Linked DNA regions of Rattus norvegicus. The protein of the gene in region 1 binds, or shares a complex with, the protein of each later gene. Links are inferred from orthologs where the notes say so. Each region holds a gene or a part of one and is shown on either strand. Other genes may lie near its edges.

The links.
Region 2: Gtf2a1 (region 1) and Polr2c share a complex: the UniProt entries of both Homo sapiens proteins name them as parts of the TBP-based Pol II pre-initiation complex. The link is inferred for Rattus norvegicus from reciprocal best matches to the Homo sapiens genes GTF2A1 and POLR2C.

What each region holds. Positions count from the first base shown.
Region 1 is NC_086024.1:116,235,218-116,238,782, reverse strand, and holds part of Gtf2a1 (transcription initiation factor IIA subunit 1), read left to right. Parts: intron 1-777; coding exon 778-982; intron 983-2,562; exon of another isoform or gene 2,563-2,705; intron 2,706-3,489; coding exon 3,490-3,557; intron 3,558-3,565. UniProt on the Homo sapiens protein: TFIIA is a component of the transcription machinery of RNA polymerase II and plays an important role in transcriptional activation. TFIIA in a complex with TBP mediates transcriptional activity.
Region 2 is NC_086037.1:10,163,622-10,167,969, reverse strand, and holds the end of Polr2c (DNA-directed RNA polymerase II subunit RPB3), read left to right. Parts: coding exon 1-48; intron 49-175; coding exon 176-228; intron 229-1,744; coding exon 1,745-1,873; intron 1,874-2,206; coding exon 2,207-2,258; intron 2,259-2,432; coding exon 2,433-2,601; intron 2,602-2,722; coding exon 2,723-2,797; intron 2,798-3,366; coding exon 3,367-3,511; 3' UTR 3,512-3,822; downstream 3,823-4,348. UniProt on the Homo sapiens protein: Core component of RNA polymerase II (Pol II), a DNA-dependent RNA polymerase which synthesizes mRNA precursors and many functional non-coding RNAs using the four ribonucleoside triphosphates as substrates.

The DNA.
Region 1 (3,565 bases):
TAGAAGTTAATTTTGCATAGTATTTTAATGGTTTTTGTACATAAAGTAAAGTTTCATCAGGTAGAATTTTCCTGTAGTGACATCCTGTCAGGAGTCAAAAAGGTACAGATTTTAGAACATTGCAGATTTTGAGTTTTTAGACTAAATATGTTCAACCTATAGAAGTGACTAAGCAGAAAGTGAATGTCAGTCGTCCATATTGGGAGAAAGGACATTTCAGGAGGTGTAGAGAGAGGATTGGGATGACCATTTCAGCATCACTTTCTTTAACATCAAGGTTAGACAAACAGAAGGAAGTTGACCTGTCTTAATTTAGAATGCCTTTATTTCTCATTATTCTCATTAAGGACAAATGGGTGAATAGTTCTCATGTTGACTCCTATTGAAGAGATAGGAAATTTGTATTGAGCAAAGTTCCATAAAAGCAATTACGTAATGATTTTGAAATAAAAAGTAAAAAGATAAGCTGTGATTATTCAGGGATTGACTCTGGGAACTCTGTTAACAATACCTGACAACTGAGGTGAGGAATTACTCTAGAAAGTTTCTTGGAATGTAAAAAAAATTTCTTCAGCATAATAAACATGAGGTCTGATTAAGGTTTATTTTCCTTATATAAAACTTGGGTAAGAAAGGTTAATTCATGTGTGTGTGTGTGGGATTGTATTATTTCTTAGAATGGAAGAAATTTACAAACACGTAATAAATTAATGTTTTGCCTATATATCCAGAGTTTTCTTGAAGTCACTGAGAAGTCTTTATTGTTCTTTGTCTTAGTTGTGGGAGAATAAACTAATGCAGTCTAGGGCAGTAGATGGATTTCATTCAGAAGAACAGCAGCTTTTGTTGCAAGTTCAGCAGCAGCACCAGCCCCAGCAGCAGCAGCATCACCACCACCACCACCACCAGCAGGCGCAACCTCAGCAAACGGTACCTCAGCAAGCACAGACCCAGCAGGTTCTTATTCCTGCGTCACAGCAAGGTGAGGAGGCTAGAGCTCCCTGTCGTGGCTAGCAAATTGCACTTGTTTTTCAAAAGTATTCCTTTGACTTGAATTTCATGGATCCATCATCTTTTTTAAATAGACGCTGGGATCGGGTGATCTATGTGATCTTTTTCTTCTCTGTTGGCTGGTAGAGTGCTCGCCTAGCATATATGAAGCCCTGGGTTCATACATGAACCCACCACTGCATAAGCTGGGTATTGTGGAGCACGTCTATAATGCTAGCATTCAGGAAGACGCAGGGTGAGATATTAAGGTCATCTTTAGTTATTTCTGTAGAGAGTGAGTTGGAACCAGCTTTGACTACTTGAGACTTTGCCTCCAAACCAGCAAAACAAAATAACAAAGGGAAAAGTTAAGAAGAGCATCCCTGGGAGGGGAGCTACAATATGTGAATGAGCTGAGCTAGGGACCAGGTAGAGAGACTTGGAGTCCCAAGAGCATAAAGGCAGAAGACCCCTGTGGGGAGATAGGTAGTATAGACAGAGTCCCAGAAGGTTTTGAGCCAGCGAATCTGTTAAATATATCAGAAACATTACAAAGAAACCTTGTGCCACATAGGTTGGAGGTAAGGATCCATATTCCACACTTTGTATATATTGTATAAGAAAAAAAGAAAATGGGGATCCCCACCTATACAGACTTATTTATAAAGGGATTCATCATTTAATATAAGGTAGTTTTTCTTTATGAAACATGTTCTTTCAAAGACATGTTTGTTTTGTTTTGTTCTTGTATCTTCAATACTGAAGAAATTTTGTAACTTTGGTAGTCTGAAAATTTAGTCCACCTTTTAATGCTTGATTTAAAGAAAGAAAAAAGTCATTTATTGACTCTGCCATAGTTTGCAAAAGTCAAATCATGTTATAGGTCCTGTTCTGTTAACTTTTATTGGGGTGTTTGCAGAATAGCTATTAGCTCAATCTCACAGTTGAAGAAAATCTGGAAAGATTAAGAATCTGCCATACCATTCAATTCAGCACTCAGGAGGAAGAGGCAGGCAGATCTCTGATTTCAAGGCCAGCCTGGACTACAGAATAATATCCGGGACAGCTAGGGCTACATGGAGAAAACTTGTCTCAAAAAACCCCAAAAACAAAAAAGGATCTCAGTACATAAAAAGGATCTCCGCCATACATAGTTTTTTTTTAATATGACAAAAATCTATTGAGTTACAACATTTCCTGAATCTTATAGTTAGATGAACTTGACTGGCAAGGAAACTTCAGGTGAATGAAAGCGTAGTTTAAGGTGGTGACTGTCCGTGACTCATTTGCTTCTTCTGTGAGTATGTGAAATGCACAGGGAATAGTTACATGGAGCAGAAAACCTATACAATTTGGTTTACCATTTACAGCTAATAGATTCTGAGGATCTTTTTTTTTTTTAAAGTTTTGTATATTGTGTGTGTGTGTGTGTGTGTGTGTGTGTGTGTGTGTGTGTGTGTAGGAGCGATAGTCCGTGGCTTGGTGGCAACTACCTTTGCCTACTGAACCATCTCACCAGCTCTTCATGCCTATATTAAGTCTATACCATAAAGTAGACATCCTTTTCATCTTTGATGACTGTTCCTCCTATTGCCTATAGGCATGGCACTAGGATTTTAGGTCATCATAAATTAAAATTGATTTTTTTCACTCAGAGAATATCAAGATAATGGGATTATCTGTGTATTCTCTGAAATTTGCGGGGTCAAACAATTACTTCCGCTTTTTAATTAACATTGCCATTGTTCCTTGTGTGTGTGATGTTGTGCGCACATGCAGATGTAGGTGCTCATGTACTGTGGTGCATGTATGGAAGTCAGAATACAACTTTAGGTGTTGATCCTTGCTTTCCACTTGGTCTGAGACAGCATCTGTGTGTTTTCTGCTGTATGCACTAGGCTACCCACCCTCAAGCTCCCCTCAAGCTTAGCGCTCTTCTGTCTCTGGCCCACCCTCCTGGTAGCTCCATACAACAGTGGTATTAGGGTGCTCATGCTATTATGGCTTTTATGTGTGTTCTGGAGATTCAAAGCAGGTCCTCCTGCTTGTATAGCAAGCATTTTTACCCACTGACTTGTATTTTTCAAATAGTTAATTAAAATGCCTTGACTGTGGTAGCAGTCAGGTTGCTAGAAAAGGTTGTAGGGTTTTCGTTTGTTTTTAGAACACTGCTTTACTATGTCGACCTGGCTGGCCTTGAACTCAGAGTTCTATCTGCCTCTGTTTCCTGAGTGCTGGTGTTAAAGGCATGCACTGCAATGCTGGCTAAGGTATTGTCATTTTATTAATATTTTTCAATATAAAATAAATGTATTCTAGCTGTTGATTTCCATAGAAAATTTTTTAAAAGTCTAAAATAGCAAATACTTTGAGAGTATTTTCAAGTAGGAAATGTAACAAAATCATGAAAAAGGTTTTGACATTTTATAACATTCCTGCAGCTCTGTACCCTTGTTTGTAAATGGACCTTTTATTCTTTTTTTTCTTCTATTTTTGTAGCTACAGCACCACAAGTTATTGTTCCTGATTCTAAGTTGATACAACATATGAATGCATCAAGTATTACGGTGAGACT
Region 2 (4,348 bases), on another chromosome or scaffold:
ATGCCAACTCCTCGGTCCTTCATGATGAATTCATCGCGCACAGGCTTGGTGAGTGCCGGTGTTGAGGAAGAGATCAAAGTGGGATGCTCCCTGTCCCTAGCCTGCCTGACCTCTGAGGTTCTTGTGGTGGCTTGGCTGTTGGCTGTTCTGCAGAGCACTTTTCTGTGTCTTGCAGGTTTAATCCCCCTCACTAGTGATGACATTGTGGACAAGCTGCAGTACTCCCGGGTACGTGTGTTGGCAGATAGACAGGAAGCACAGGTCGGGGGAGGGGGGTCCAGTTCTCCCTGGGATCTTTCTGGGCATCTTCCTTCCAGCTGACTGTAGCATGCTCATTGTTGAGATGATGTCTTAGTAGTGTGGTCCTTGGTTCTGATGGGGCTTCACATTGCTCTCAGCACATCCAGGCATCATCACGGGCAGGTGTGGCGGCACATGCCTCTAGGCTCAGCTTGGGAAGCAGAGGCAGGTGGATCTGTTTGAGTTCCAGGACAGCCAGGGCTGTACAGAGAAACCCTGTCTCAAAACAACCAAAAGGGTGGGGGAACACAGCCACTTTTATGTGTGTGTATGTCTGCCTCTGTCTGTGAAGGTGGGCTAGGGTCAAAAGAGGGCATCGCTCGGAGCCCCTGGAGCTAGTTATAGGCAGTTGTGAACTACTGGGTGTTGCTCTGGCAGCTGAGCCGTAGTCACTTTTAACAGCCAGCCTCACACCCTTCATCCACTTATTGTTTCCATTTTTTGTGTTAGTTTTAAGGAACTCTCGCTATGTAGCCCTGGCTGGCCTTGAACTGAAATCTGCCTGCCCTGCCTCCTGAGTGTTTCCCTTGGTCATTAAAGGCATGTGTCCCCGTGCGTGTCTGAGAAACAGTAATAAATCCCCCTTTGTTTTGTTTCTCTGTGGTTACCAGATGATAACGTTTTACTACGTCTGCCCTGTTCTTCCCTAAGAAAATAAGCTGCAGGCGCCCTGCCCTTGCCTTCTGCGCACTTGAGCACAGATCAGTGTGCTGCAGTCCTCTACGGCTGTGTGCCTGTATCCCACCATTTACAGGGTTACCTAGTGAGAAAAACTCTGTCTCGGAACACACAAAACATCCACAAAGAGTGGCAAATGTTGATAATTAAGGAAGCTGGAAGGTGGGCATATGACAAGTGGCCATCTGTCCTCTCTGGTTCTGTATGTGGGTAGAATTTTCCATAAGAAGTTTTGAAGTAAAGATTACTGGATGTTGTGACACGTGCCTATAATCGTTCACATGGCAGTAGTAGCAGCAGGAGGATCAGTAATTTAAGTTTCACCTACATCCTAAATTCCAGGCCAGCCTAGGCTGTGAGTGCCAGCCCCCTCCTCCCCAAGTAATCTAGAACTTCAAAGTTGTTTGGGTTTTGGGGGTGTTTTTGTTGTTTTTTGTCTGTTTTCCTGTTCTTCCCTTGTTTGTATTTTCAGTAATTCCCAAGCTGATCTGCATAGACAGAACTCTATTGTTGCATAAAACCTTGGTCCTCTCTAGGCACTGCTGAATTAGCAGTGTGCCCCCTAGTGGTCACCTGTAGCAGTGGCCCTGGAAAGGAAGTGTGGTTGCCAGCAGGTATACAAGTTACCATGAGGTGAACCAGATGTCACAGCCCAAAAGGGCCTGGGACTGGGGTCACCCCTTTTCACCAAGAAGAAGTTGAAAGGAGCTGGTTAGGAAAAGCAGAGAGTCCAGTCTTCCCGATCCAACTGCCCTTCCTGCCTCAGGACTGCACATGTGAAGAGTTCTGCCCAGAGTGCTCCGTGGAGTTCACGCTCGACGTGAGGTGCAATGAAGACCAGACGCGCCATGTTACCTCCCGAGATCTCATCTCCAACAGCCCCCGGGTTATCCCGGTTAGTGCCTTTGCTCTTCTCTGCCTGGCTCCAAGTGGGGTAGATTAGAGTGGGTCTTTTATGAGATGCTAACCTACCCTGTGATCATCTACTTTAACTGCCACCTAGACGTGCTGGCCCTGAGTTCCTGAACAGAGCAGTATTGGGGCCATGTGCCCTATGTTGTCCAAAGACCCTTTTAAAGGCCACGGGGCTCTTTGGACAACTCTGCCATCTCCTTCTCAGCCTCCTTTCCCCGGCTTGGCAGCTTACAGGCTGGATTTACTGAGAGACAGTTGCCAGAGGTGATTGAGAGGTGAGAGGCTAATGCATACTTGTTTGGACTTCCTACAGGTGACATCCCGGAACCGGGATAATGACCCCAATGACTATGTGGAGCAGGATGGTAAGGGGGTCGGGCTGGATGGGAAAGGGATGGGGCAGTCAAGCTGGTGGTCAGAGCAGAGACCCTTTTGAGTCGCCTGGTCTCTTGATATTTTTCTCTTCATGCAGTACTGCAGGACACAAGTTGGAGAACTTGTCCCTTTTGTTTCTGCCTCACTCTCACCTCTCCCTGCAGACATCCTTATTGTCAAGCTGAGGAAAGGCCAGGAGCTGAGACTTCGAGCCTATGCCAAGAAGGGCTTTGGCAAGGAGCATGCCAAGTGGAACCCTACTGCGGGGGTAGCTTTTGAATACGATCCAGACAACGCACTTAGGCATACAGTGTATCCCAAGCCTGAGGAATGGTATGTTCTGGGGGGAGGGGGGAATAGCAATGGCTGTAGTGAGATTTAGGTAGGTGGGTGCTCTGAGAGCCTTGCTAACAGTAGAAGCAGCCACCTTTGCTTTACCTGTGCTTGCCCTCAGGCCAAAGAGTGAGTACTCTGAGCTGGATGAGGATGAGTCACAGGCTCCCTATGACCCCAACGGCAAGCCAGAGAGGTAAGACCCCAGTCCTGCTTGGGACTGTAATTGTAAGTGTAGGTGTGGGAGGCTGTTAGGCAGTCACACACCCAAGCTCACCACACCACACCCCATCCCCCACTCCCACCCTCATCCCCACCACGTGATAGAACCAACTGCCAAACTCGCACATCTTGAGTTGGTCTTCATCCCTCTCTAGTCACCATAAAGAAAGGGACCTTCTTACTGCCCCATGCTATTTCTGGCCTTCCTGTTTAGGCTCAAGCCAGAACAAATTAACCATAGCCCTCCCCTGAAGAACTGAAGAGCTGTAGCCAGAATCGTGTTTGGTTTTCTTCCTGCTGTCTCCAGTGTAGACATGCACGCCCAGAGTCATCTTAGGGTTTTTACAACAATGCCCTTTTCGTAGCTTCCCCGAGGAACTGTGAAGTGGGCCTGGACCACTCTGCGTAAGGGGTTCTAGGGAAAGGGAAGTCAGCCCTGTCCTAAGATCAAAGGCCTCGTAGGAATGGAGTCCAGTCTCAGAACGAAGTCTGTTTGAAGCCCAGGCTTTGCCTCATGAGAGCTCTCACCCCCTCGTCTCTCAGGTTTTACTACAATGTGGAGTCATGTGGCTCACTGCGCCCTGAGACCATTGTCCTCTCAGCCCTGTCTGGGCTAAAGAAGAAGCTGAGTGATTTACAGACCCAGTTAAGCCATGAGATCCAGAGTGACGTGCTCACCATAAACTAGCCCGCCTGCTGCGGAGACTAGGTTCAAAGTTGACCGGATTCCAGGCCCTGGGGCCCTTCTGGTTTCTGGGCTAAGGACTGCGCTTGCTCACGTTGCCTCCTGGAAGGACATCGGAGAGATGGCCAGGGGTTCCACTGGTGTTAGACAAGGCAGGTTTTATAGGGGTTTAGCATCCCTGGCCCTACATAGTGGTTTTCAGGCAGCCTAGGGGGAAGCACACACTAGTACAGAAAAGGAGTATTTATTGATCAACAGTAGCTGTCTTTTTAAAAGTTTTTATTTTTGGCAATAAAGAGCACAACATAATCTCCTTCATGCGTCATCGTGCTACTAACTGAGCCCGTTCTGCCTCCCTCCCAAGGGCTTAGGCCCATTTCCTGTACAAACTAACTGACCTCTGGTGGTCGTTCCTGGGTCACAGTCAGAGTTGGGCTGGCTCTGCCACTTCCCTGGCTCCAGGGCCCCCTGAGAGAGGCCCCCTTATCATTCTGCCACACATATGAACAGTGGTTATTTACAAGGTCTGTTCCCACAGAGCAGATCCTAAAGTATTAAAAAACAGAAACACGCAACAAAAGGTTGGATGTGAATAGAAAGATAGCCCTTCTGCACGGTAGTCAATAAATACCAGCACTAGAAAATCAGTTGCTTTAATTGCATTTCAGCAGGGAGCCTCAGCACCGTGTGGGGGAGATGGGAAGGTCTTAGTTTTGGAATCTGGCCTGGGGTGGCTGGCCCAGGGCAAGGGACTCCCTTGCTAGAGCACTATACCCCTGGTCAGTGAAGGGGGCAGCCAGGTGCTCCCCACAGCAGGCCCGCTGCAGCCTTTGGGCTGGT